Linked DNA regions of Coturnix japonica. The protein of the gene in region 1 interacts with the protein of each later gene in a pairwise test. Links are inferred from orthologs where the notes say so. Each region holds a gene or a part of one and is shown on either strand. Other genes may lie near its edges. The genes, in order: L3MBTL2, PAICS, PHF10, BEND7 and TLE family member 5.

What was found.
Region 2: the proteins of L3MBTL2 (region 1) and PAICS interact in binary tests that used the Homo sapiens proteins (3 or more experiments, as listed by UniProt). The two-hybrid records come from large-scale screens. The link is inferred for Coturnix japonica from reciprocal best matches to the Homo sapiens genes L3MBTL2 and PAICS.
Region 3: the proteins of L3MBTL2 (region 1) and PHF10 interact in binary tests that used the Homo sapiens proteins (3 or more experiments, as listed by UniProt). The two-hybrid records come from large-scale screens. The link is inferred for Coturnix japonica from reciprocal best matches to the Homo sapiens genes L3MBTL2 and PHF10.
Region 4: the proteins of L3MBTL2 (region 1) and BEND7 interact in binary tests that used the Homo sapiens proteins (3 or more experiments, as listed by UniProt). The two-hybrid records come from large-scale screens. The link is inferred for Coturnix japonica from reciprocal best matches to the Homo sapiens genes L3MBTL2 and BEND7.
Region 5: the proteins of L3MBTL2 (region 1) and TLE family member 5 interact in binary tests that used the Homo sapiens proteins (3 or more experiments, as listed by UniProt). The two-hybrid records come from large-scale screens. The link is inferred for Coturnix japonica from reciprocal best matches to the Homo sapiens genes L3MBTL2 and TLE5.

Annotation. Positions count from the first base shown.
Region 1 is NC_029516.1:45,392,530-45,396,605, reverse strand, and holds the start of L3MBTL2 (lethal(3)malignant brain tumor-like protein 2), read left to right. Parts: upstream 1-1,275; 5' UTR 1,276-1,358; coding exon 1,359-1,406; intron 1,407-2,520; coding exon 2,521-2,827; intron 2,828-3,007; coding exon 3,008-3,141; intron 3,142-3,463; coding exon 3,464-3,587; intron 3,588-3,897; coding exon 3,898-3,977; intron 3,978-4,076. UniProt on the Homo sapiens protein: Putative Polycomb group (PcG) protein. PcG proteins maintain the transcriptionally repressive state of genes, probably via a modification of chromatin, rendering it heritably changed in its expressibility.
Region 2 is NC_029519.1:58,382,262-58,386,330, forward strand, and holds the end of PAICS (multifunctional protein ADE2), read right to left. Parts: intron 4,046-4,069; coding exon 3,962-4,045; intron 3,818-3,961; coding exon 3,637-3,817; intron 2,598-3,636; coding exon 2,439-2,597; intron 1,684-2,438; coding exon 1,517-1,683; 3' UTR 509-1,516; downstream 1-508. UniProt on the Homo sapiens protein: Bifunctional phosphoribosylaminoimidazole carboxylase and phosphoribosylaminoimidazole succinocarboxamide synthetase catalyzing two reactions of the de novo purine biosynthetic pathway.
Region 3 is NC_029518.1:36,960,559-36,964,069, forward strand, and holds part of PHF10 (PHD finger protein 10), read left to right. Parts: coding exon 1-21; intron 22-1,367; coding exon 1,368-1,501; intron 1,502-1,615; coding exon 1,616-1,765; intron 1,766-2,634; coding exon 2,635-2,744; intron 2,745-3,491; coding exon 3,492-3,511. UniProt on the Homo sapiens protein: Involved in transcription activity regulation by chromatin remodeling. Belongs to the neural progenitors-specific chromatin remodeling complex (npBAF complex) and is required for the proliferation of neural progenitors.
Region 4 is NC_029516.1:6,097,478-6,101,528, forward strand, and holds the start of BEND7 (BEN domain-containing protein 7), read right to left. Parts: upstream 2,804-4,051; 5' UTR 2,531-2,803; coding exon 2,470-2,530; intron 1-2,469.
Region 5 is NC_029543.1:645,287-649,497, forward strand, and holds the start of TLE family member 5, read right to left. Parts: upstream 2,812-4,211; 5' UTR 2,586-2,811; coding exon 2,559-2,585; intron 2,346-2,558; coding exon 2,248-2,345; intron 861-2,247; coding exon 797-860; intron 162-796; coding exon 117-161; intron 1-116. UniProt on the Homo sapiens protein: Transcriptional corepressor. Acts as a dominant repressor towards other family members. Inhibits NF-kappa-B-regulated gene expression. May be required for the initiation and maintenance of the differentiated state.

The DNA.
Region 1 (4,076 bases):
CATTTGTGTTTGTTCATGGCAATGTATTTTACCAAAGAAACGAGGTCTGACCTCATCAGCTGACCTGCACCCGGCCAGTCTGGGAGCAGCTGATGTTCAGAAGACCTATTTTGCATTTTGAAATGAGAACTATTGTTTGGATATGTGATATTAAAAGATCCTATTTCACTTGGAATACATTGTTCAGCTTTTGGCACCAAAGTGTGAGCCTGAGAGAGAACCTGGTGTGGATATTCTGTAGATGCTGTGCTGCAGTAGCTGATGGGTGCCCCATTAATGCTGTTGCACCCACTTATGGGCTGCTTGAGGTCACTTAGCATGGAAAGGCTGAAGTGCTCTTGATCTCACCTGACAGCAGTGCGTGCAGGCGGCTGCCTCTTAATTCAAGCACATTCCCCTATTTGGGGGATGTCCTGTACAGAAATGCTTCAACTAGGGAGCGTGTGTGTAGCAAAGCCAGTTGTGTGTGCCAGCTGTAACTGCATGCACGTGCTGTTGAACCTGGTGTGTCGTTCACTGCCTGCGAGCCATATGTGCAGAGTAGGCAGGGAGGGCTTCCCAGAGCACAGCTTTACCCCATGGGTGTGTGGGGAGTAACTTGTACCTGTGTTTTGTGCACCTGAAGATCTGGCTGTGGCCAGAGCACAGCACAGGCGTTGGGATTGTCCCTGTGTCCACCAAGCCCAGGTAATGACACGAGCAAGCTGCCTTCAGGAAAAGATGGATGGAAGATGATGGAGTGAGGAGCCTGTCTGCACGGGAATCTCAGTCAAGTGCCAAACAAAAGCCATGGTCTATTGCAAAGTGGACAGATGTTCGTGGCTGTATGAAATTTGGAATAAAAAGCTTGATATTCAGATACAAGTACGATGATTGGTCTAACACAGGAGCATAAGCTGTGAATAGAAAGGTGTATTTGATGGCAAGATGTCAGCCTGTCTTCATAAGGGAGGTGCTCCAGCCTTCTGACCATCTTTGTGCCCTCCTCTGGACCCCCTCCAGCAGCTCCCTGTCTTTCTTGTACTGGGGGCTCCATACCATGATGCAGTACTTAGATGGGGCCTCGCAAGAGCAGAGCAGAGAGGGACAACCACCTCCCTGTCCCTGCTGGCCACCCCTCTCTGATGGAGCCCGGGACGCCGTAAGGTCCCTGTAAGGCCGCCATCATGCTCTGGGCCACGCCCCGCCCCCTTCTAGCGGAAATAGAACTACGCCTCCCGTCGTGCCCCGCGGGGAGTGAGGCGGGAACAAGCTCTTCTCCGATTGGCTCATTTTCTTCCGTCTGTGGCCAATCGGGTGCGCGGCTGCGGGGGAGGTAGTGCTCCACGCGCGTGAGGCGGGCAAGCGTCCTGGGAGCCATGGAGCAGGAGCAACAGCAGCAACAGCAGCAACAGCAGCAAGGGGAGGTGAGCGGCGGCGGGGCCGGGGCGGTACCGCACTGCGAGAGGCCTCCTGCTGCCACAGCCGCGCAGTGCTCTGCAAAGCCCCGCAGCGTGGGCTGGGGGGGGCTGGGCCGCCCTGTGCTCCACGGGAGACGCGCGGCCCGGGCTGTGGCGGCCGTTTAACGGCTGCGGGGGGGCGGTTCGCCTCCCTGTGTGGAGCCCGATGTGGCGTCAGTGGGGTGTTGGGGGAGGGAGTGACGGAGGGGGCGCCGCCGGGGGGGGATGCATCGCAGCTTTCGGGCTCTTTTGGTTCCGGAGCAGCGATCCCGAGTTATTCGCTTCCTGCGAGCTGAAGGAAGGAGCGTCCGCAGAAAGGGCTGCGAAGGAGGTGGATTTGCTGCTGGTCCGTCATCACAATTCGTTATAAATTCAACTCTGGAGAAAGCTGGTCCAGCTGATGTTTAGTCTGTATTAGTTTTGTGAGCTTTGGTGGCCGGAGCCTGTAGCTCGGTACGCTGTGGAAAGCTCGCTGTGGCTTTGACGGCTTGAGGAGAGCCACTAAGATGATCCGAGGGTTGGGCACCTCTCCTGTGAGGAAAGGTTGAGGGAACTGGGCTTGTTTAGCTTGGAGAAGAGAAGGCTCCAGGGAGACCTCATTGCAGCCTTCCAGTATTTGAAAGGAGCACATAAATAAGAGGGAGAACAACTGTTTGAGTCTGGACAGTGATAGGACAAAGAGGAATGGTTTTAAACTGAAACAGGGTTAGAGATGAGGAGGTAGGTTTTCACACAGAGGGAGGTGACACACTGGAACAGGTTGCCCAAGGAGGCTGTGGATGCCCCATCCCTGGAGGCATTCAAGGCCAGGCTGGATGTGGCTCTGGGCAGCCTGGTCTGGTGACTGGCGGCCCTGCATATAGCAGGGGGGTTGAAACTGGATGATCTTTGAGGTCCTTTTCAACCCAGGCCATTCTATGCTTCTGTGATTCTTTAGATTTCTGAATCTGGGATTGTTGCGTGGATTTCTTGCACAGTCCAAGGCTTCTCTTGGGTCTAGACGTCCTCTCAGCAGTGAAGACAAGCTAGTAAACATTTGGCATAAGGTGTTTGTTTTAAAGCAGACTGGTTGTTTTGTCAGGCAGCGTCTTCCATTTGCAACAAAACTTCATCTTTGGAGAAGGCGGAGGTGGAAGGTGAGGAGGAGGAGGAGGAAGAAGAGGAGGATGATGACTTGGACATGTTTGGAGGCTATGACAGCTTCCGGAGCTACAACAGCAGCATGGGCAGTGACAGCAGCTCCTGCCTGGAAGAGTCTAGTGATGATGAGGTGGCAGATCGGGAAGTCAGAGGTCTTCCACTCTCCCCTGTGCACCAGCCACCCACAAGCCGGATCACAGAAGACAGCGGCTCTGAGCCAGGTAGTGCCCGTTCTCCTGTGTATGATGGTAAGAATGAGAGCTGGAGGAAACCAAAGCATGCTCTGGGAGCAGAACTGAACTGATAATGCATGTTCTGTAATACATGGAGGAGCTGCTATGTGTAGTGGGGATTTCCTGGGCTTAGATCTGTCACTTATAAAGCACTGGTCCTGCTGACTGCTTGTATCTTTGTGCTTTTCCACTCAGCTGTGTGCGAGATGTGTGGGATTGTGGGAACCAGGGAGGCTTTTTTCTCCAAGACCAAACGTTTCTGCAGTGTATCATGCTCTAGAAGCTATTCATCCAACTCCAAGAAGGCCAGCATTCTGGCCAGACTGCAGGTGAGTCAAAATCCCTCCTTCCCCAGGGGTGGAGTAGAAAGCCCATGTAGAGGGATGGATTTTTGCTGTCTTGTGAGGTCTCAGACTGCTATTACCAGTGGTTTATTTCTGCTTGAAGCCCCCAGAGAAAAGCATACCAACTGTGCAGTGCTGTTTTCTAGAAGCTGGGGAAGGGCATAGTTATATTTTATTTGTTGTATCTTCTGGTTCCTGAGAGCACTAATAGTAATCTGTAAATCATCCCTGGAGAGATGTGTGCCTCCTCCTGTCCAGTTGCAAGCTTCTCTCCCTTCCTATTCCACTAATATTCCTTCTTTTGTAGGGGAAGCCACCAACAAAGAAAGCTAAAGTCCTGCACAAGGCAGCCTGGTCTGCCAAGATCGGGGCCTTCCTCCATTCACAGGGCACGGGGCAGCTCGCAGATGGGACTCTGACAGGCCAGGACGGTGAGTGTAGGCTAGTCATGAGGAGGTATATCTTTAGAAGGGGTAACTGTAAGACTAATAGCCCCATGCTTCACTCTGATTTCTCTGAGATGCTGTGGCCCCAGAGATACCCCCCCAGCTCCATTTCTCAAGAGCAAGTTGACACCATTTGTGGGATCTAGTTCCTCTTCAGGGAAAAGGCACTCAAATACAGAGTCCATGCTCTCTGGGACAGAGTGCTTTGCCCTTGTTGTAGCCCGGAGGTAACTGAGTACTGTGTGCCTTTTAGATAAACCTCTTTGCCTTACTTTCTTCTCTTGTCTGCTCCTAGCACTAGTCCTGGGCTTTGACTGGGGAAAGTACCTGCAGGAACATGGCTTCAAGGCAGCTCCAGTCAGCTGCTTCAAACACGTGAGTTCTTTGCTGTGCCTCACAACATGTGTGGTACACTTTGCATGCACTGGACTCTCCTGTGCTGAGTGGAGAGAGGCCTGGGGAGAGGGTTCTTGA
Region 2 (4,069 bases), on another chromosome or scaffold:
ACGGCTTTACTACTAGTTTTTATTGCAAGGATGATATTTTACCATGAAGTCTGAACCTTTTTGTCACTAACCAGCTCTAAGTGTTACTAGGTGTTTGTGGTTCTTTTTGTGCTTAGAAGTAAAAAGCAAATCCCCCTCAGGACTACACAATGAGGTAGAGTTGTTTTGGCTCCAGTGTAGGCTTTGAACTTAAGATCTTACTTAACTCTAGAAGGTAGCACTAGTTGGAGCTCTGTGATGGCTACACAGAAAGAGGATGTGGTCCTTCCTGTGAAGGCCAATGGCAGCAAATCAATCCAGTTTACCCTCATTAAGAAGCAAATACGAGCCACACACAGCAATAAAACTACATCTTATGAAGAAGCAACTGGGCTTCCTCTAACAGTAAGCAATGTGATCTACTACTTTATGCTGCTTTAACACATAGGGTTATTTCACAAGTGTTTACCATTTTTTAAAAGCTGATGACTTACTGCATGAGTATCTTATGAGGTCTCCACAAAGCAACTTTGAATTAAATAGTTTATTTAATTATAAAAGCATAAATTGTACATACATTGAGTAATTGCATATTTCTTAGAATCAGTACCTACATTGAAGAATGTTGTGTGCAAAGACAAGACAGTCATGCTTAGGCTTGCCCCTGGTACTCTGCTGCTTTACCATTTATTCCTACCTTCAGTTCAGTATAATTCCCATAGAAACAGAGTGAGGGAATATAGATACATTGATGTGTATGAGGATAATTTGACAGCATCACATATGTCCACAGTAGATCTGCCTAATATTTGAAGGGCTAATATTTGACTGGACTAGGTCAAGGGTTATACAGCAAGTAGGCAACAAGCCTAATTATGGCTGCATTCAAAATTAGAGCTTGTCACAAACGAGAACAGTAACTTCTCAAATGATGTGATAAAGTTATTGATGGGGTGTATATACATACACACATGTACACATGAAAAAATATATGTTTTTTTTAAAATAAGGCAGTTATTTCTTTCAGGCTCTTACTTCTTAGCCTATTTTCTTATTAATACAGCATATGTTGCTATTTTATTGCTAAAAGAAAGCATACCATCATTACAGCACTACATCAGCACTAGTTTTAGTTAGCAGTCCCATTGAGTTAATAAGCTTCAGAACATACATTATTACTATGGAAGAACGTTACTGTTACAGGAAAAAAAGTGGGCTTCTATTTAAATCACACCAAATCATTATGTTGACATAACCATCATCGGTAGTTAATAGTATACACTGAAGAGCAGAATGACACTATTCTGGAACAACAGAAAGATAACTAAAATATTATCTTCTTTTACTAAGTCGTTAATACTAAAAAAAAAAAAAAACAACACAAGAGAGGGATGAGGACACAGCAGACTTATCTGCTGCTCCAAAGATGCTTCGTTCTGTGAGAAAAGATCACATCATCCAACTACAAATCCTGATACAAATGCATATGCACACCACTATCTTTGCGTGGCTGGTAGGAGTTACTTGTTGGTTGGACTTACAAGGTGCACTCCCGCAATTTTTTGTCGGCCTGCTTCAAAGAGATCCATGTATTTAACATGTTTGCTCGCAGTTTGGCCCATACCAAGTGGTTGTTTAACCCAAAAATCTGGGCAGCAAACTGAGCGGCTCCTTCAGGTGACAGAGTAGTAGGACAGCCAAGACCTGCAAAGAAAGCAAAATGCTACTTTCAAACAAGTTTTATAGGCGCAAGCAACACATTGCCTCTAAGTGACTGTTTAAGACAGTGCTTGTTTCAACAACTGGATGTTGTGTTGAGGGACATGGTTTAGTGGGAGCTATTAGCAATAGGTGAACAGTTGGACTGGATGATCTTTTAGGTCTTTTCCAACCTTGGTGATTCTATGATAACCCTCTAGAGCCACATGGTTTAGTTTTAAAGCCACTGAAGTGTCAAATATCTCAATACTTCTCTCATCATGGCATTTGAAACCCAAAGCCAGCAAAGCAATAAGTTTATGAGGAAAGAGGTAACAGGCTGCTGTGCCTGCAAGTTGCCAAATAGCTGTTCTAGTCACTAACTGATAAGAATTCATATGGCAGCAATACACTGCTGTAGAAGAATCAAGCTAATTGTAGAGAAAGATATTATTTGGTCTTTTATCAAAGTAAATTTACTTTAATAAAATGGAACACTATAAGCAGAAACAACAGCTTCCCATTATTAACTCCTGTTTCAAACTCAAATATTTAGCAAGGATAAGCAATGGATCATATCTTTCTAAAGAGTATTTGTACATAATCTCTTTGGCTTCTCAGCTGCAAAAAGCCCAAAGACTGCATGCAGATTTCCAGAGACTGTTCAGTACTGATAAGCCACTGTTCCAAACAGTGCACGTACATGTGTATGATAACTATAGCTAGGTCTGTACAATTGCACAGGCTGAAGATCATCTTACCACTGGGCAGTCTGAGAGAGGACCACACATCCTGAGCACCCCAGTCAGATGAGAGAGGAGGACAGTTGACAACAGGGTAAGCAGTGTTACCAGACATTACTGGCCCTAAGCCATTGCTTCTGCCAGCTACTGCAACAAACACAGTCGGGATTCCATCGCCTTGGGGGGAGAAAAAGAAAGAATAAGCAAGTCCATCTTGTTTCATCCCACTTGCTTTTATGGAGCTTTGAGTCCACAGTTCTTCAGTTTGCACTTAAATTTCTTTCATTCTGTTACGCAGCACTAAAATTTATGTTGAATTTTCCCCTTTACAGAAATGACTGATCTTACAGCCTTAAAACCCAGATGCTGTTTACCATAACTGAACAAGTTAACATGTCTCACCCTTCCTCTGCTTGAGAGAAAGAGCCAGAGGAATGGGTGCTGCTTTTGGAAACAGCAACATTTAAGGATGAGAGATTTAGACAGCTAAATTCTGGCTGTAAAACTATAAAAAAAAGAACTATAGTTTAACTAAAGTCTTAATTCACCTCCAGTGAATCTCAGCTGTGATTACCACATTTGTGTTTTCAAGTATTTAACTGCTTCCTCCTGTCCCCAAATAGTATTTTTTTCCCCCTCTGTATAAGGAATACTCCAACAAGTGAATTCTCATCTCTCCTCCTCTAGCCTTTCAAAGAGAAGTCAGGTTTTCTTGGTATAAAAAATATGAATTGAAATCAAGTATTTTTTCTCATCGCGTACAAAAATGATTCAACATTTTCAACAAATGAGTAGGATGATGGCAGCAACATCTGCGTTGGAGGAAACCAAAGAACATTTATAGTCAGCTAGAGGAAGCCTCCACTCCTCCCTGTTTAAGAAATACATTTACTGTAGTATCTTCCTACAGATGCAGGTATTAGCATGATCAAGGCTCAAGCAAAGAAGTGCAAGTATGAGATAAAAATCACAGTTCAAGCTTTTGAGTAATGGAAGTTCTGAGACAGCATCTTACTTCATAATTGCTCAGTGCAGTCTACCATCCATCATTATGTATTTAACAAGATTAGAACTGCATTGTAACAGACTATTGTTGTGTTCAACAAACAAGAAACTATGGGAAGAAAAAAAAAAAGCTTACAGAGATCCTTAAGTTGACAAGTCATTTTTGTACATGATATTGCTCAGTCTCATTCATTAGTTCTCTGACATCTACCTTCATATTCTGCTTTGATCCTCAGAGTTTCATCCGGCCCTTTGTGAGCGGAGGTTACTCTTAACTCACAAGGAATTCCAAAGGTTGCACATGCCTTCTTTATTTTCTCACAGTGGCCGAGGTCAGAAGTAGATCCCATCAATACCACAACTCTACCTTGGCTCTTCGTTTTCAGAAGCAACTATGAGGAATAGTCAAGGGAGAATAAAGAAGAAATAAAAGGAAAAAAAACAAATCGAACAAAATAGTCAACGGGACTGAAGACACAGTTATCAAAGACCAGATACACGGCTCATTAGGGGAAAAAAAGCCACCACAGAAATACCTCTACTCTTTCTGCAACCCATTCAAAGTTTCTTTTAACCATCTGCAGTGCTTCAGGAGTCACTTCCTTCAGGTCTCGATAGGACTAAAAAGGAGAAAGAAAAAACAA
Region 3 (3,511 bases), on another chromosome or scaffold:
CGGAGACTCAATGCACGTTAGGTAAGAGAAGAATAAGATTCCTCGCTAAAGTATAAAAAATGACCCACTGAAAATGTGATTCAGTTTTGGTAGAGAAGTCACTTGCAAATGAAAATGTAAATTCTGACCTGAAAACTAGTTTATATTTTTGTTTATGTAAACTGGCCAAAGGATATCAATGCTCAATATTGATCATAAAAACATACATTTTAATTTTGTTCCAATTTCTTAGTAAAACCTATGTTGTAAATTGGCTTTTAGAGCCTTTTTCTCCTTAACAGAAAAAGAACAGCATGATTTTTTAAACTAAAACTCCATCTGTATTTTTGGCTGAATTTGTAGTGACTCAGCAAACGTTAGTGTATTCCATGGAATTGAGCTTATGTCTTAGATGTCAGAAGGGTGAATATTAAGCCACTTAAATGCATATGCAATAGAACATTGTCATTAATGCAATTTATATTGGAAGAGTTTCAAGTGTTTGTTCTTCCTCTGCTAGTATGTGTGACTTGGAGTGTGTTAAAAATTAAAGGATGCCTGTCACTTTTTTTTTTCCCAGTGTACCCATGGATCTGTGCAGATGTTAATTACATTACTTTATAAATTAACAGTCCTTGGTACACTGCCTTTGTTTCTCAGCTGCCAGCTCTCTTGAAAGTTTTACTTAAATATGCAGGATATACCCGTATCTAATTTTTATCAGTAGAAGCAAAATGCTATATTCTATCTCAGATATACAACAGAGGCATGTGGTGCATCAGCTGTCCCTGTGATAACATACGCCAACTTCTGTCCTGTTGTAAACAGTATTAGTTTCATTGGAATCTTTTGAAGAGATGTTCTGCGTGACTTGATAGCTGCAAAATGACATGTTCTGACTTTTGAACTTGAAATACTTTAATCAGGAATCAGGCATCTGTCTGCAGTTTGCTGCTCTGAATTGACCTCACAGTGATTCTTTTTTGATTTGTACAGAGAACCTGACCTTGAAATTAAAATAGTGTGAGGCAGTGAAACTGGCCATTCACCAGTACAAGAAACTGAAACAAACATCACCAGGTCCTGCTTTCAGCAGAAGTTCTGCCTCTTAGGGAAGTTTAGTAGGTGACAGTCACTGTGAAGATGAAGTTTAGCTTCTGTAGTTGTAAGCAAGGGAAGAATCTTTCCTCCTTGGGAAGAAGCAAAACCTTAATCAGCCTCAAAAGCTAAATGTCATAAGTTCACTCCTATGTGACAGAGGGTGAAGTGTCGTGCATTGTAGGTTATTGTCTTCAGCTGCTCAAAAACTTCACTTGATGATTGTTTGATATAAATAACCCACGGTTGGTTTTGCCAGGTAGCATCATTATTGCTTTTATCTATTTTAGGTCTAACAGCTTTGCGTAGTGATGAAGTAATTGATCTTATGATTAAAGAATACCCTGCCAAACATGCTGAGTATTCTGTTATACTGCAAGAGAAAGAACGTCAGCGAATAACAGATCATTACAAAGAGTACTCTGTAAGTAAATAGAATATGTTAAGTGAACCAGATCTGTAGCATGGAAGATAAAAACAAATGTTCGCAAACTGGTGGTGAAATGTGTGTAAGTTAATAAGATTGTTTTTGTTTCAGCAAATGCAGCAGCAGAACACACAGAAAGTAGAAGCCAGTAAAGTTCCAGAATATATTAAAAAAGCTGCCAAGAAGGCTGCAGAATTCAACAGCAATTTAAACCGAGAGCGAATGGAAGAAAGAAGAGCCTATTTTGATTTACAGACACATGTAGGCAAACTATATTTTTTTATCAATGTTGAAAGGTAGATCTTCGTTTTAGTAAGGGTGTTTCTTAGAACCTTTCTAACAATCTTACCATTCAGGGGGTTCATTAGTCTCATTTTAGAGACATATGGACTTTTAAGAAGCTTCTGTTATATCTGTTGATATATATGGCCAGTTCTCTTTTGGAACGCTTCTAAAATTCTCTCTGAACAATCTATTTACTTAAAAGTTAAGCTGTTTATCTGAAAGAATGCTTTGAATCGAACTTTATGCCCTTATTTTTGTTAGATGCTACATATGTTATCGAATATATATGTAATATATTATGGAAAGGTGACATCTTCCTGACAGTGATACATTAGAAACAAGATGGTGGGTAATTAATTTGACTCATTTCTAAGGAAAGAAGGCTTCTTTAAGATTCTTTTTCCCTGTATTTGTGTTATTTGTGGGATTTTTTAGTGGCACAGTCTGATTTTTGGCATTAGATGGCAGTGTTGTTGCTACCCTCTACCAGTATGGACCCACAATAATAATTAACATCAAAGATACTTCTCACAGAAGTTTACGATTACTGCTTCAATTGCTAGATTTTTATTTTTAAATTATTTTACATACTGTACTATTAGAAACAGTCTTCTTTCAATTCATCAAGCACATCCTGATTAGACTTAAATCTGTAATACTGTTTTACGAGTGGGATCTCTCGTCATTTTAGTGAGTTGAATTTTCCATGGGAGAGCTCAGGTAGCTGTTCTAATTGAGTAAAAGGCATAAACTGGCACACGCATAAATATTTTCAGGAAATGGAGGGTAAGGAAAGCTTAAAAGTTTACAAAACAAGAACTTCATTGTTTTGTGTTAAACAACAGATTATCCAGGTGCCTCAAGGAAAATACAAAATCTTGCCTACGGAGAGAACAAAGGTTAGTCCTTATCCAGTGGCTCTCATACCCGGCCAGTTCCAGGAGTATTACAAAAGGTATTTTAAAAGCATTGCAGCTGCTGTTTCTTTTGAACTGATCTCTACATCTAGCTCGTGGAAAACATTTGAGTATATTTGCAGCAGAGTTTTGAATTACTCTTATGCTTGAGGCCCTCGCTAGTCTAATAAATGTGCTGCAGCATGGGGGCTTTTGTCAACATCATGTATGTAGCACTTGCTGCTAGAGTGTCTCCTTCTCTGATGTACTGTGGTGCCTGAATTTGGTCTGTTCAGATAATCTGGTTAGATCTTGACATTATCCTGTAGTTATTTTTATTTGCAATTTTTCCCCCTTCAGTAATCATGAAACTTGATCTGGAATCTATCATCTTTACTTATTTTGCTTTGGACCCCAGCCGTTTGTGTGTTGTGGGTTAGAACTGATGCTGTGTACTTCTATAAACAAAGTATATGGTTTGTTGGCATGGATTGATCAAAAATTTGTAGGCATTCAGGTATTTTATGATTGCTCAGGTTTGCAACATTGCAAATATACTCTTCCTGTGTTCCACGAATATCTACCTACACAAAGATGACAAGTACTAAACAGTGTAACATTTGTGGGGATAACTCCGTAAGTTTCCTATATTTTGAGAAGTGCATGTCTATATGTGCTTCCCTTAAGAGGAGGGTTGGAATTATTTACATTTCTTACTCTTTCTCTCTAATTCTCATACATATTTTGTGAGTAATATCTACGCATAAAGCGCACAGGCATTCATTTATTTATTTTACTACCTTCAGATATTCTCCAGATGAACTTC
Region 4 (4,051 bases), about 39 Mb from region 1:
TGAGGTGTTAATCAAGTAAGTAGCGTTGGGGTTTTCTGAACCATGAAGTGGGAGAAAAGTATATGGGCTGCCTGACGTGTATGGGGTAAAGGTGAAATACAAGCTGCAGTATTGAGGAAGTAAATGCTGTAAGTATAGAATTTATGCAGACTGCACTCAGAGCCCATTAGCTTTTCTTTACATTTCCTTCTTTGCAAGTTCTGCTAGAGAGTGCACATAGGAACTCGGAATTAGATGACTTACAGATCTGCATACCTCAGACATACAGTTTACACGTGGTTTCTCCTCCACTTCTCTCTGTGCATCCAGCTGGGCACCATCCGTTTCTGCCCTACAGCTGCAGCCTGGAAGTCACTGCTCTGCACCCCAGAGGTGCACTCCCTCTCAATCTGCTCACCACACTGATAGGGTGCTCTGAAGCTTCTGGGGACAGACTGAGCACCTTAGATGGCAGGGTTATTAACAGATTGCATTACAGACTGATCCAGCATCCCATTTTCTCTTTGGTTTCCTTCTCATGCCTCGTGTCACAGTCCAGGCGCTGTGAAATCCATATCAATTTCACAACAGTAAACACTAAACTGTGACATTACTGAGCGACTCCAGCAAGAGGCAAAGGCCAATTACAAGAGACAACTATTTATCCATAATTAGCTTCATAATCAACTGTGATAGAAAGAGGCTACGTGAGAACAGACTCACATACAAAACGTGATGCTTATGCCCCCCACCCTCCAAGTGTGAACGCAGTCCTCCAGGATGCGTTTTTCTTTCAGCATGCCTTTCTATTTGAATCCCTACACCCAAAAGCAGACCCCAGGTAAAGTAAGAACCGCTAATAATTAACCACCATAAATGAATTTATCCAATTCAAACCAAGTTAAACAGATCACCTTACGCACTGAGGAATGTTTAATCCTGTTAGGACTGAGAATCTGCACAATATTAATACATTTGCCATAGAGCACACCTTCTTTTTGCAGCACTTTGAGGAGAGAAATAAAAACCGAGGCTTCAATTTCAGTTTTGTTCGGCTGCACGTTTCACTTTCCAGCCCTGCACAAACTGCCTCGGAACATCTGATGCTAAGAAAGCTCACAAAGCAAACCTATTCCTGATAGAAATGAACCCCCTCCGGTGGCTCTGCTGATGTTTACAAAACCTCCAATGAATTTCAGACAAGTCTGACCAGTCATTGTCCTTCTATTTTGAGCAGCAGCATGTGCAATGCTCCAAACCCTACTAGAGTTAAAGCAGTTATTTCAAGCGAGCTCGTTTCCACCTTCACGTTTCTCTGCTTCTCATCTGATTCTGCCACACTCATTTAAAGACCTCACCTCCCCCATTCAGCGAGTACCAAAAGTCACCCCCCCACACACACACACACTCACCCCTAAGCGCTGTATTATCCCAAAGCAGTCACCTGCCCTGAACTTGGCATGCACGACACACACAGCATTGCTGGCAAATATTTCAGCTCAAGACTTCAAGACACGAGAGGGGAAGGGGGGGGCAAAAAGATACATAGAGAGAGGAAAAATAAGAATTCTCCCACCAAATCAATGAGGACAAAAGAGACAATCAGCTGGAGCAGCTCGACATACCCGGCCAACACCAAGCCTGGGGCTGCGAGTCCACCTGTTAAAATGACTTCCAGCAGCTGTAGCTTTGAAAGCAAGCTCACAGAGGACTGAATCAAAGAGCTGCGTTTCATTTCCCGACATGAATCCCAAACATTTTCCCCAAGGATCCCTTTTAAAACAGTCTTCTTTTATTTATTTCCCCCCCCCTTTCAAAAAGCAAACAGGCACCAAGCGAACAAGTTACATGCCAGCAATTCCTCCTCACCCACGGACGATTAATTAGCAGCGTGGATTTTAATAAAGACACCTCGGTGGGGCTTCGCTTTGAAATACGTGCGTAGAGGAGGAAAACACACACACAACAACCCACAGGAGTTGAATACTAAAGAGCTTCGGTGCTGCCCAAGTGTCATTATTTCGCCTAATTCTCCATTTCACCTTTCCTTCCCTCCAACCCCCCCCCCCACCCCCCTCCCAAAGGAGGATTTGCAATGAAACGCGATCCAACTTTATTCGGTAGGAGATCACCCTGGAAAGAAACAAAACACGTCCACCTTTTGGGGGTGGCTTTTTCCTTCTTGTTATTTTCTTCATTTTGAGGAACGCAGAACACACACACATATATATATTTTACAAGGGAGAGAGGAGGGAGGTTAAAAAAAACACGATGAAATAAAGAAGAGCTGCAACGCTTGGGAGAGTTGATTCCAGAGTTAAATAATAAATACGAGGAGGGAGAGACACAGCCGAGCTGGAGGGAAAGGAGCACGCACATTTCATAACACCCCGATCCCAAACCCGGCCCCGTTTATGCAAAAGTCCTCTTCAGGCACAAACAAACAGACCAACGGCACAAAGCCTCCCCCCCTCCCCGCCGCCACTTTACCTTCGTTGATCAGTTTAAAGCTTTGGGATTTCCTGCTTCTCTTCCTCTCCGTAAACTCCATGGTGCGGGCGGGCGGGAGGGAGGGAGGAGGAAGAAAGGAGGGAGGAAAAAGGGGAGCGAGGAGGGCGGCCGCGCGGCGGGGAGCCGCAGGACCAAGGTCCGTCTTTTTAATCAGCAAAAATAAACGCGGCCCCGGGAGCTTTCGGCTTCAACTGCAAATAAAAGGATACGGGACAAGTTCGTTCCGTCCCCCCCGCCTCCCCGCGGCGCCGCCCGCCCTCCCAGGCCGCCCCAAACTTTGAGGGGGAAGCGGGGTGAGGCGGCGGGGGGGAGCCCGGGGCGATGCCGGCCAGCGGCGCCGCCGCCTCCCCCGCCGGGTGCGCGGCCCGCAATGGCTCTGCCGGCACCGGGACCCCGCTGCCACCTGCTGGGGAAAGGCGGCGAGCCCCACCGAGCGGGCCCCGGCTTGTTTCCGCAGGCCGCCGCCCGCCCTCCTCACAGCCGGCCCGCCCGCCGCCTCACGCCAGGCCGGGGAGGCTGTTGGCCCCGCGGGCGGCCTGGCCCCGAGGCCGGAGTGTGACCGGAGGGAGAGGGGCTGAGAGGGCAGCGCCATTTTGTGTCCCCCCCCCATCCCGCCTCCCGCCCGCCCCTGCACACCCCTGCACTCAGCCGCCTGCTGGCTCCCTCTGCCGCCGCCGCTTCCTACGAGCCACGCCGCTCCCTCAGGGCTCGGGGCCCCGGCTGCGACGGAGCGGCGGCCCTCGGTGCGGCCTGTGCAGCCTCGGGGCTCCCCGAGGGCCTGCCCAGGGCCCAAGGCTCGCTCAGGGCCGGAGGGGAACTTTGGGGGTGATAGGAGGCGATCCCAGCCGGGCCCGGGCTGAGCTCTGTGGTGGTGAGCTCTGTGGTATTGAAGTTGTTGCTCCATAACTGTGCAAAATCTAGTTCAAATACCCCAGCAGCAAGGCTGGGCTGGAGCCCACGAGCTCATCACAACCATGTGCCTGTTTGCAGAGTGCTGTCTTCTAAGCCAGGCTTCACATTCAGTAGTTAAACGTGATATCCCATAGTAAAGAGTCCCAGTCTTCTGTAGGAGTGCCACCCAGCAGGTCACCACAGCCATATGGATGATCCAGACGCAGCTGAACTTAATGCTTTATCCACCAGCTGATGCTTCCAGCCACACTCCTGGCTCGCTTATTTCCCTTACGTTACACTAAGTGCATTTCTGGTGCAGTTTTAGCTTTTACAGCATAGCGTGCCTACAGAGTACCCAGACACCGTTAACCAAAACACAGCTCCCAGTCTTCATCTTGTGTTTTACATGTAGTCAGGCTGTGTCATGACAAGGAGAGGAGTAAGTGATAGATAGCTACATGGTCACACTTGAGCAGAAGCCGATCTCTTGGTCTAATGAGAGTACCCAGGAGAATTCTATTGGCTCCAGTTGTATTGACTGACCCCATCGCTTAAGGGTTAGAAAATTGCTCAGAGGAAAACGAATGTGAATGTTAACAGTAGTTAATATTAACAATAATGATAATTAATAACATTATTTGTATCGTAGTGCTGCTTACAGACACAG
Region 5 (4,211 bases), on another chromosome or scaffold:
TGAAGGTGCTCCCCAATGCCAGAGCTGGAGATCCCAAAATCAGTGCTGACGTTTGACATCCTGAAATGCCACTGAAGGGACAGAAGGCACAGCAGGCAGCCCACCCCCCCCAATACCTGTTTGTGCATCTCAATATTCAGCCCGTAGGACATCTCGTAGTACTGCGGAGTGGGGAAGAAGAGAACAAACAGACACGATGAGGACTCCAGCATGCAAAGAGACCCCCACATCTGTACCTTCCTGCTGCCCCCAGCCCAGGTGGGACCTCAACTAACCCAGAGCCCACTCAGCACCTTCACAGAGCCCTGGCATCACAGGGAGAGCTCAGTGCTCTGCTGGGAACAGGCACAGCCCGGCTCTGTTTGCTGTGCCTGGCCCATCTCCTAACGCCCACGTGGCTGCTCCGGCAGCAAATGGAAGGGCTCAGCCCTGTGCTCCAGCTGCACACAGCTCCAGCTGCTTGGGAAGGAGCTGCAGGAAACACACACGCAAAATAACCCACCCCCCTCACACAACAGGCAGCTCCAGTGCAAGCTATTGGCACGGGAAGTCAATTCCTGAGCACTCCAAGTTTGCTCAAGCAGCAGAGCAGCTCTGCACACAGACAGCAGCTCCCTGCTCACACCCTGCATGTCCATCCTGCACCCACCGACCCAGCACACACACAGGGTGCAGAGCACGAGGAGCTCTGTTTGTTTGCACGAGGAGCCCTGTGTGCACGAGGAGCCCCGTTTGCACGAGCCCAGCAGCAGCAGCACCTGCTCCCCACCCACGCGCTGCCCCGGCAGCTCCTCACCATGACGTAGTGACGCTGCATCTCCGATTTCTCGCTGGCGAGTTTGTCGCATTCCAACTTCAAGCTGCAAAGGCAGAAAGCAGTGAGAGAAGCAGCAGGGCAGCGGGTTGCATCCTGGGTTGCATCCTGCAGGGTCCATCCCAGCCTGTTGTGTGCCCAGTGCAGCTCAGCAAAGCAACCAGATCCTCCTATACTGGGGAAGCCCAGGTGCAGTGCAGGCCTCTGGAATGATGCCTTTTCCCCCTTTCCTTTGGGTTCTTTGCACCCTTAAGAGCAGACGTGCTGCTCGCTGTGCTCTGTGCAGCTCCCCAGCCCGGCAGCTGCAAGCAGCATGTGCTGGTTTTATGTTTCAAACAAGAAACAGCTTCACCTCCACCAAACCTGCTGCTCTGTGAGCAGATCGGGTCCTGCAAGGGGGGGCCACAATGCTGCACGATGCAGAGCTCGGGGAGGTGGGAGCAATAGGGAAAGGGCAACACACGGAGCAATGGTTTGGTGCATGCGTGCAGCTAGGAAGCAAACAGCAAGAGAGCCCATCGGCAGCCAGCTTTTGGGTCAGCAGAAGCCATTCCGCAGGCGGAAAAGCGGAAGCATTTGGCTTTAAGTGCTCCCTGCAGCATTTGTGAGCCAAGAATGGCAGCCAGCAGGGAGAGGGGAGGAAAACTCCCAGCGAGAGGAGGGAGGGCTGGAAGAGCTGCACATGGATGGAGGGATGGAAGAGCTGCACATGGATGGAGGGATGAAAGAGCAGCACATGGATGGAGGGATGGAAGAGCTGCACAGGGATGGAGGGATGGAAGAGCTGCACAGGGATGGAGGGATGGAAGAGCAGCACATGGATGGAGGGATGGAAGAGCTGCACAGGGATGGAGGGATGGAAGAGCTGTGCATGGATGGAGGGATGGAAGAGCTGCACAGGGATGGAGGGATGGAAGAGCTGTGCATGGATGGAGGGATGGAAGAGCTGTGCATGGATGGAGGGATGGAAGAGCTGTGCATGGAGTCCTGCATTGGGGTAAGACCTGGCTGTGGGGGAGGCAGAGCGTTCTCCTTCCTTCTCCTTCCAGAATCCCACCTTTTGGGCAGTGAGCAGAGCGTTCCCTGCCTGGATTGCAGCTTTTGGCCAACTCTGGGCCGAACTGCGTGGCCAAAGGAAAGGAAGGCAGCAATGGGTGCACACCGGGCGTCCCCCCCCCCTCCTTGGGATGCTCACATCGGTCCTCCAGGTGGGACCTGGAGGTGATACCGGCCTGGGGAGGCTGAGCCTGGGGGTAAACCTGTGCTGGGCTGGGAGGGCAGCGCGTCGTGCCGCACGGAGCCCATCTCTTGGCCACGCTGCGTCCCGGTCCGTGCAGGGCAGCGATGCCAAAGCGGAGGATCCCAGCTCCGGGCGCACTGCGGACCCCCCCGGGATGCTCGGGGCGGTCGGTGGGGGCGGTACCGGCACGTACCTGTGATACTGGGCCTGCAGGAGCTGGAACTCGTCCTTGATGCGGTCGCACGAGTCGGAGGTGGTGAACTTGAGCTGCTGCGGCAGGTGAGAGGAGCCCTTGAACAACACACACAGCGCTGCACACCCAATGGGGGGCCCGCAGCCCTGCCCGCCCCCCCACCGCAGCCCGCCGCCGCCCAAGGTCACCCGCACCCCCCGCTCCGGTTCCCGGTGGCTGCGGGCGGGCAGGGGGCGGCTCTCGGTGCTCCCCCCCGTCCTTCCCTCCTTCCTTCCTTCCTTCCTTCCTCGCTCCTCCCGGTGCCGCCGTACCGAGTGTCGGCTTTGTGGAAACATCATGTCAGGCTGCAGCCCGTTCCACCGCCCGCAGCGGTCCCCTCGCCCCGCTCCGCTCCGCTCCGCTCCGCTCCGCTCCGTTCCGTTCTTTCCCCGTCCGCCTTTGTCCGCGCCGGGCCCGGCCCCGCGGCCGCCCCGCGCCGCTGTGCCCCGAGCCGCCGCCTATTGTCTAATGGCGGCTGCGATCCGCTCCGTCCTGCGGCTGCTCGGCACCACCTGCCGCCCCGCCGCCGCCTCCCCGGGCCGGGCGGGCCCACGGCCGTCTCCGCCCCCGCCGCGATCCGGGCGGTGCGGGGCGCTCAGCTGCTCCCCCCCCCCCCAATTCCCCCCCCCCCCCCCCCCTCGCCCCCCCCCCCCCCCCCCGGGATCGGGGGGGGGGGGGGCGCCCAGCTGCCCCCCCCCCCCCAATTCCTTCCTACCCCCCCCAGCCGTGATGCTCTGCCCCCCCCACGCCCACCCATCCCGACCCGGTGCCGCTCAGACCCCGCTCCGTGGGACCCTCCGTGGGTCTGGGGTCTGCGCTGTGTCCCAGAGCCCCGCACCTGCTGCGGGCATCGTGGGTGCGAGAAGGGCTTAGAGTGGGGTCGGCCTTAAAGGGCATCCAGTTCTCCCCATCACCATATTGCTATCAGGCAGGTAAAAGTCACTCCCCCTCCTCCCTGTAAGCCCCCTCCCCAAGTACTGGAGGGCTGCAGTGAGGTCTCCCCGGAGCCTCCATGGCTGCTCCATCAGCACGTTTCCATAGCAGAGGATCTTTGGTGCTCAGAGCTCAGAGCATCCCACAGCCTGATCCCAGACCTGGATGCATCACTGCAGGTGGGTCCCCACAAGGGCTGAGCAGACGGGACAGTCCCCTCCCTGCCCTCTGCCCCCCCATAGTTGCAGCGCAGGGGGGTCTGTAGGACCACCACGACCACAGATCCCAAGCTATGACCATCCAACCACTTCCTTACCCACCAAACAGCCCACCCTTCAAACCCACCTCTCTCCTATTGAGAGAAATGGGCACAGTGTGGGGCCGTGCAAAGGCCCTGCACAACTGCAGCCTGTGCCCTTCCTTTGTCCACCAATGCCATCAATGGAGGCCACCAGATGGGCCAGACACGTCTGCCCTTGGCGTTCCTTGTTCACCTATTGCTTATGGTTCTTGATGTGATGCTGCAGGAGCTGAGCACCCCAGCAGTGTGGAGCTCACCATCACAATTTGGGGCTCACTATCACAGTACAGGACTCACCATTGCAATATGGGGCTCACCATTGCATTATGGGGCTCACCATCACATTGCATGCCCCAGTATCACAGTGCAAGGCTCACCATCACAGTGCAGACCCCACCATTGCAATGCAGGGCTCAGTTTTTGACTTGCAATGCCCACAGCAAAGCATTGCTTCTTCTCTTCTCTCCTTTGCTGGAAGAAACCATGCCCAGAGCAGCACCTCAGCAGAGCCCCATCCATGGGCAGAGGCTGCAGTGCTCCAGTGAGCAGAGAAAGGCTGCTGGATCCCTGCATGGCACAAACAAGGAGTGCTGGGCAGGGCTGCTGCGTGCACAGGGATCCTGCCTTGATTTGGCTGCTGTTCTCCTCCTGCCTTTCAAACTGGGTGCATTTTCTGCTTCAAAATAAAGCC